Sus scrofa: one gene and its partner. The protein of the gene in region 2 interacts with the protein of the main gene of each other region in a biochemical or structural test. Links are inferred from orthologs where the notes say so. Each region holds a gene or a part of one and is shown on either strand. Other genes may lie near its edges.

The links.
Region 1: the proteins of ANGPT1 (region 2) and TIE1 interact in a biophysical measurement, tested with the Homo sapiens proteins (2 studies listed by BioGRID and IntAct, with this or other methods). The link is inferred for Sus scrofa from reciprocal best matches to the Homo sapiens genes ANGPT1 and TIE1.

What each region holds. Positions count from the first base shown.
Region 1 is NC_010448.4:167,944,438-167,948,835, reverse strand, and holds the start of TIE1 (tyrosine-protein kinase receptor Tie-1), read left to right. Parts: upstream 1-1,582; 5' UTR 1,583-4,398. UniProt on the Homo sapiens protein: Transmembrane tyrosine-protein kinase that may modulate TEK/TIE2 activity and contribute to the regulation of angiogenesis.
Region 2 is NC_010446.5:30,229,926-30,234,011, forward strand, and holds the end of ANGPT1 (angiopoietin-1), read left to right. Parts: intron 1-1,082; coding exon 1,083-1,243; 3' UTR 1,244-3,509; downstream 3,510-4,086. UniProt on the Homo sapiens protein: Binds and activates TEK/TIE2 receptor by inducing its dimerization and tyrosine phosphorylation.

The DNA of each region.
Region 1 (4,398 bases), on a different chromosome or scaffold from region 2:
GCCATAGCAGTGACAACCCTGGATCCTTAACCCGTCAAGCCACCAAGGAACTCGTATCACTCTTACTGTGAGGTTCAGTATGTTTCAAGGGCCATTTGTATCTACTTTTCTATAAACTTTCTGAACCATGAACTTGTGTGTTAACGTGCAATCTTTTTCATAATCTTCACCCATTTAAATATTGGATTTTATAAGTCCTTATTGATTTCTAATATGTAATAATGAGTTACACATTTTTTTTTTGTCTTTTTTTGTCTTTTTGTTGTTGTTGTTGTTGCTATTTCTTGGGCCACTCCCGAGGCATATGGAGGTTCCCAGGCTAGGGGTTGAATCGGAGCTGTAGCCGCCGGCCTACACCAGAGCCACAGCAACGCAGGATCCGAGCTGCGTCTGCAACCTACACCACAGCTCACGGCAACGCCGGATCGTTAACCCACTGAGCAAGGGCAGGGACCGAACCCGCAACCTCATGGTTCCTAGTCGAATTCATTAACCACTGTGCCACGACGGGAACTCCGAGTTACACATATTTTTGACATTTGCCTCTTATTTTTGCCTTTTGGGTTATTTATATTTAGTAAATTCAATTAATCTTTTAAGGTCTGGGGATTTTTTTCTTTTTGGCCACACCTGAGGCATGTGGAAGTTCCCAAGCCAGGGATCAAACTCGTGCCACAGCAGCAACCTGAGCCACAGCAGTGAAAACACCAGATCCTTAAGCTGCTGAGCCACCAGGGAACTCTTAAGGCCTGTGGATTTTAAAACTTAGTTGGAAATATTACTCAATCCAAAGTTAAAAGAGAATTTATCTACGTTGTGTTCTAGTTCTTTTGTGGATTTTTTTTTTTTTTTTTTTTTTTTTTTGTCTTTTGTCTTTTTAGGGTGGCATCCGAGGGACATGGAGGTTCCCAGGCTAGGGATCAAATCAGAGCTGCAGTCACCAGCCTACACCACAGTTACAGCAATGCCAGCCAGATCCGAGCTGTGTCTGCAACCTACATCACAGCTCATGGCAATGCCAGATCCTTAACCCACTGAGCAAGGCCAGGAATCAAAACTGTGTCCTCATGGAGACTAGTCAGATTCATTTCCACGGAGCCATGACGGGAACTCTGGACTTGATTTTTGATGTTTAAATCTTAGACCTATTTGGAGTTTATTTTGATATATGATATAAAGTATGGATCCAACTTTATTTTTTACTGTTACTAATTGTTGCAACATCATCATTTATTGAAAGGACCAATTTTTCTCACTGATTCAAAATGCCACTTTTTATGCATACTAATTTCCTGTTTGCATTTGGGTCCCTTTCTGGATGTTTCTCTTCCACTGATCTATTTGTGTTCCAGTAACATTAACTTTTTTTAATTGCCGCGCTCATGGCATATGGAAGTTCGTGGGCCAGGGATTAAATCCAAGCCACAGCTGTGACCTATACCACAGCTGTGGCAACACCAGATCCTTTAACCCACTGCACCAAGCCAGGGATGGAACCCTTACCTCCACAGCAACCCAAGCTCTGCAGTTGCATTCTTCTCTCTCTCTCTCTCTCTTTTTTTTCTTTTCTTTTGAGGGCCCCTTTTATCCTTTTTCTTTCTTTCTTTCTTTCTTTTTTTTTTTTTTTGTCTTTTCAGGGCCTCACCCTCGGCATATGGAGGTTCCCAGGCTAGGGGTCCCCCAGGTTTTGGTTTCTAATATCATTCTCAACAAACAACCAGGGCTGCTTGGAGAGGGGGCTCATTCTAAGAAACGGCATAGGAAATATGCAAGATGAGCCTGGAGTATCTTGTGCGCCCAGGAAGTAAGGAAGGGTTAAAGAACAAATGACAGCCTAAAACACCAGTAACGCTTGTGGGGATTTGTCAAAGGAACACGGGAACCAACTGAAAGAAGTCCCACCAGCCATGGCGGCAACAATTTGAGCAAGAAAATAAGTAGTATTGGATTACAACCCAAAGGATGAAATAAATATCTGTGAGTTCACAGCGATATAAACAAATGATTGACTAGATAAATAAATGCTGGAGAATGAAGACATAGCTCCCTTTCAGAAGAATTCTGATTCATTTTTGCAGATAAAGCCTCATAGAGCGGGAGAGTCCCGGTGCTTAAGTGTGGGCTGCGTATAGTGACTTCAAAGAAGGTGGTATGGGAGTTCCCGTAGTAGCACAGCGGAAACGAATCCGACTAGGAACCACGAGGTTGTGGGTTCGATCCCTGGCCTCTCTCAGTGGGTTAAGGATCCAACATTGCCGCGAGCTGACGTAGATCACAGATGCATCTCAGATCTGACGTGGCTGTGGCTGTGGTGTAGACCAGCAACTATAGCTCTGATTCGACCCCCAGCCTGGGAACCTGCATAGGCTGCAGGGCGACCTTAAAAAAAGGCAAAATAAACAAACAAACAAACAAACAAACCTAGGATGTGAGAAAGGGATTTTTTGCCCAGGACCACCACCATCCAAAGTACAAACTAAGTGGGGCCTTGGCTGGCCAGCCCTCCCTAAGCGGGAGCTCCCACCCAGCCTCCCAGCCACTCTCCAGCATCATCTGCTGCTCCCCGTCCCCTCAACTCTTCTCCTTCCCCCGTCCCAGCCTCCGCTCACAGAAGAGAATGGGAGAGGCCAGGTGGAGGGAAGGGGGATGGTTCAACATGGAGAAAAGGAGTCCCCAGCCCCAAATAAGCAAACACAGCAGGTCTCCCATGGGCTGGGGTCCTCTAGGCACCCAGGGGTCAAGGGAGACACCCATTGGTCATACATGGCAAAGGAGGCCAGCACAGCCACCCTACCTGCCCCCTTTATTCAGAGGTCTGTCCTTCCCATCGCCACCCCCAAAAGCTTAGAATCGCTCTGTAGGAAAAACAGAATTCCATTTTGAGGTAGTTTAAGAGTCTTGATGTGCTGCAGACGATGTGCAGATGGTACAGAGGTCGGGAAGGCTTCATTTGGAAATGCCCGGGGCAGGGTTTTATGTGCCTGCATCTATGCAAAGACACAGTGTGTTCTGAATGATTGGGGGGGGTCCTTTTTAATGACCCTTCCAAACCCCTGTTGGACTTCGTCATCTCCTGTGGCCTTCACCTCCTTGCACCACACCACAGACTCCACCATAACCCAGAAATGCTCCACGGGTCTCCCTGCTCTCTGACAGGAGAGCGTTCCTAGGAAAACTTGAAGCCAAAATGGCATAAAGCAAAGAAGCAACCATTCTGGACACCTCTCACTAATGGGTGCACAAAACAAGCCAAGATTAAGCTGCTCACAGACACAGTTCAAAGTGCTGGTGGCTTGATGCTGAGATGCTGAGTGCAGTTTCAGAGGAAGGAGCTTGGGGGTCCAGCCCTCTAGCTGCTCCGGGGGTGAGCTGCCTCGGTAATAACTCCCTGCAAAACAAATGCTCGATGCTATTTTCACTTTTCACCTTTTAGCATGAAAGCAAAACTCCTCCTTGGATTTCTCTCGGTCCGAAAAACGCAAGTCTCTTGTAAAAGCGAAGTGACTTAAAGTGAAAAGTGGGGGACATGAGTAATTCCCATATTTAGACCTTGATTCGGAGTTCAGCCATGTGTTCCCCAACCCCATGAGATCAATGCTACTCAAAATGAGGCCGGTGGGGCAGCACTCGGACAGCTATTCACAGAAATAAGGGCGAAAACCCTGCTTCCGTTAACCTGCTCCTAGAGGACTGTGCCATGGCCTGGATGCGTGTGGCCCCCAGACTTCAAACATGGAAACCCTAACGCCCAGTGCGATGGTACTAGAAGGTGGGGGCCTTTGGAGTGATTAGGTCATGAGAGCGACATTATAAACATTCCTCATTGATCGTGCTTTGCTTTATTGTGCGTCACAGATGTTGCCTTTTTTTTCAAATTGAAGGTTTGGGGCCACCCTGCATCAGGCAAGTCAATCGGTGCCATTTTTTCCAACAGCATTTGCTCACTTGTGTCTCTGTGTCACAGTTTGGCAATTCGCACAACTTTCCAAACATTTTCATTATTATTTATGTTATGGTGACCTCTGATCAGTGACCTTCGACGTTACTGTTATAATTGTTTGGGGGTACCACGAACTGCACCCATATAAGATGGCAAACTTAATTGATAATTTTTTTTTCTTTTTACAGCCATACCGGCAGAAGGAAGTTCCCAGGCTAGGGGTCAAGTGGGAGCTGCAGCTGCCAGGCTACACCACAGCCACAGCAACACCAAATCTGAGCCACATCTGCAGTCTACACAGCCGTGGCAATGCCAGAAACCCTAACCCACTGATCGAGGCCAAGGCTTGAACCTGTATCCTCCCAGACAGCATGCTGGGATTTTAACCTGCTGAGCCGCAATAAGAACCCCTAATTGCTAAATGCTGTGTGTTCTGACTGCTCCACTGACTGGCTGGC
Region 2 (4,086 bases):
TTCCAAATTCGTGGACATACCTTACTTTTTCCTAGTATGAATTTATGATTAATATGGCTTATTAGGCCTCTAGTGTGACTTTATAAACAGAACCAAGCTGTATGCATCTTCCAAAACTGAAAAATGAGAACTAGCTTTTCTCCATTTAACTTTTTCTAAAAGTTTCTGAAAATGATGCTTGTGTTACAGTTAAACATCAGCTGTACAGCTCTCTCTTTCTTTAGCTATTAGTCCCTTAGGTATAACTTTTATAATCAAAAGGAGGTCAACTGTATCCAAATACAAATATGCCAGAATGTCTCTGGCATAGCTCTCTCCCTAAAGATTTTAGTAGTGTTACTTAAGGAGAGAGAGAAAAAGTGCTATGTTTTATCTAAAAATCTAAGAACTTAATTCATTTAAAAAATAAAGTACTGAATTATCCTTGCAGAGAACTATGAAAGCTTAGCATCTCTATGTAACTTATTTTTCTGCTTACTAAGTTTAGGCAGAACTTGAACAATCACCAAAAAAATGCTTTTATATAGGAATTACATGGCTACTGTTGATGACTGCATCTCATATTGCTATAAACTGCAGGGAGGGGGCACAGCAAAACAACTCCATGGTCAGGTCCCAGGATCCAATTAATTTCAGAAGCAGCTGAGGGCCAGCTCTTGGCCAAATTTCAAAATAGGTGGAGAACATATCTTTCTCTCTATTTAGATGCCGGTTGTCTAAGCTTCTGAACTTCACTGCTAGTAATTAATTGTTATATGTCCAATAACAGGCTTCAGGTGGAATATCTCTTAAGGCTTGACTAGATTGTGTCTTGAAGCCCAGATGCTTCCCATCAGTACACTGGGAAATGAGTCCCAGTGGAGTGACACCAAAGCTGAGTTTCATGAGAGCATTCCTCTTTCTGATTGTTTGTATGCCATTTAAAACAATTTCACTACCAAGAAGATATTTATTAAATAACCCCTATTTGCAAATAATCACACATATGAATGTTTCCCCACAGTTAATGGCATTAACTTCCAAATGTTCATTTTAATGATGTAATTGTTTCTTTTTTCTATCATTATTAACTAATCTTTCAGGCTGGTGGTTTGATGCTTGTGGCCCATCCAATCTAAATGGAATGTTCTATACAGCGGGACAGAACCATGGAAAACTGAATGGGATAAAGTGGCATTACTTCAAAGGGCCCAGTTACTCTTTACGTTCCACAACTATGATGATTCGACCTTTGGACTTTTGAAAGTACAATATCAGAAGTGATCATAAAAGCCACAGAGAAATCTGGAGAAGCCACCAAATGAGAAATTGCGTGAAAACTTCTGAGACAAACAGTATCGTCTCCCTTCCAGCAACAAGTAGCAGTTATGTGAAATCACCAAGGTTCTTGACTGTGAATGTAGAATCTTTTGAGTTCACAGAAGTCTCTACTTGGGGTGACTGTGTTCATATGGCTTGACTACAGAGAATGCCACTCACTGTCATGCTTTAAAAAGGGAAGAAACTGTTTAGCTCTCTGTGCTTCAAACTACTACTGGATCTTATTTTGGAACTTTGGTAGCCAGATGATAAACATGGTCTATTTCATGTAAAACGGAAGACAAATAAGAAAATAGGAACAACAACAAAAAAAGAGTATACATGAAGGATAAAAACAGGCCTGCTATAATTCTTTGGAAAAGATGTGTTGCACCAATAAATGGTGTTATTTCTATGCAAACCCACTAACAATAAGTTTGTACTGTTGCACAATTTTAATAAAAGTTCAGAAAGATTAGCATTGCTCTCTGAGTTGGTTAAATGGATTTCAGAAGCCTAATTCCTAAATCATACTTACAAGTTGATGTCAGTTAACACATCTTCAAATGTAAATTCCATTTTGTTAAACTATGAAGAATTGTAGTGCATGAAGAATAGCAGTGTGAGGTAGAAACACAGTCCATTACTCTGATATTTTGGATGCAGTTTTCAGAAAAAAAAGTGGACAGTTCAAATATGGACATATAAGGTGAAAAATTATCCCCCCCATGCTTCAGTTTTCATTTACTTTAAAAAAATAACTGACTTATATATAAATATATTTATAGCCTGAGTAAAGTTTAAAGAATGTGAAATATACTTCAAGCCCTTAAAACAATACACATGCATTTAATATTTCCTTTGATATTATACATGAAAGCAGTATTTTAGAGTGTGTTAGTTGAAATAAAACCAAGTAAACTGGAACAGCTCATTTTATAGTATCTTCTTGCATATGTACACTTAAGTGTAACTTCATTATTTTTAAAATGATCTTAGTTCTTCACCATGTTATTTCATGTTAATTTAATTTTTGCTAATTAACTGAAACTTACTTTCCAGATTCACCCTGTTCCAGCTTCTATAAGAGATACAATTTGAAGTCTATGAAAAGTGAAAGAAGAATTATAAATACCATTGTACATAGCATGTCTATATCCACAGTAAACCTAATAGGTGTTTGATCTGGAATATGAAGTGTCTTCAATTGATGCAAATAAACACATTTTCAAAAAAAATCTACCATAGCACTTTATGAAACATGTTATTTACTCATGTTTTTTTTTCCTTGTCTGTTTTCTTAGGCAATTTCTGATTTTAATACATTATTATTAGTGGAAAAAATTGTCGAGACTTTATGTTACATGCTAAGGAAAACACACCCCCAAAAAGAAAATTAATCACAGTCACTTGACTAAGATAATTCTAATTAATAGTCACTATAAATCTCTTAATAAAAATATTCCTACGTGATAATCTATTTTTAGTGAATTTTGGGGCACATATTTTTGTGGCAATTTGAATTTACTACAATATTTTATCAAGAAGTACTTTCTGCCTCTAAGTATTCAAGGTTACCGGAGTGAACAGTTTTTATCAAAACATGAGGGTACTATGAGATAAAATTGAAATCCGTATTGGGTCTCCTTTTTTAGAAAATAAAATTTTTTATCAGGACAACAATACTAGTTTCAGACCTGGTGGCTTGATCTATTGTGCCTTTATACCTTTCCTCTCCTTGAAAGAATAAAGCTATTCACATTTTTAGGAAATTATTTTTTAAAGTTTACCATCAACTGTTTATAGTGCTTTGTGTACGCAACCCTGTTTTGCCTTACAAGTGATATTTTCAGATTTTCCACGGCTTCTCTATTCTCGGTGACTCCTTCATAGCACCATTTATGCTCTCCCTCTAAAAACTTTCCTTTTTATTTTATTTTTTAATGGCTGCACCCATCACATATGGAAGTTTCCAGGCCAAGGATGATTGAATCGGTACTGCAGCAGCTATGACCTATGCCACAGCTGTGGCAACCCAGTGCGCCAGGACAGAGATTGTCCCATTCCTCTGCAGTGACCTGAGCCACTGCAGTCAGATTCTTAACCTACTGCACCATAGGGATAACTCCTAAAAACCTTCCTGATTGATTCAAGTGAATGAAAGTGAATGTTTTGGGTTTTTTGTGTTCCTACAGATTTTTTTTTTTTTTTACCAGTAATATTCTTTCCCAACTCATAATACAAAAATAAAATGAAATAATGAAAAAAAGGAAAATATGATATTTACTGTTTTGTTTTCTGTGTTTGAAAAGTGAAATATTATTTCCATTTATAATAAGACAGTATAAAATGTTTTATGACTCCACTGTGTACATCGTGTAATGTCTACATGTTTGCATTTAATTTATCCTTTGCATTTAACTATTTCAGGATAAGATAATTAGGCAGTAGGATTCTGTCTTTAAATTTTTATGTTAATTAAATTTATGTAGTTTCTATACTAGTTTCTTCATACCAATCACAGCTTTATTTGATTTAAATAAAATTGAAAGTATCATATTTGTGCAACTTCATCTCATTTTAAACTATTTTACAAGTTCTAAAATTAGAGATCTATGAAAGTGTGGGTTCCTTAAAAAAAAACTGCTTAATGTACTAAAGCCTCAATCTTTGAATATCTTTCAGTCTTGCATGTAATAAAGAAGCTTAAACTCCATTAGAATGTTAGATCAAAGCAATGGGTCTGAGTCCAACATCTCTACTGTGTGATTGTTATGTCCTGACTAT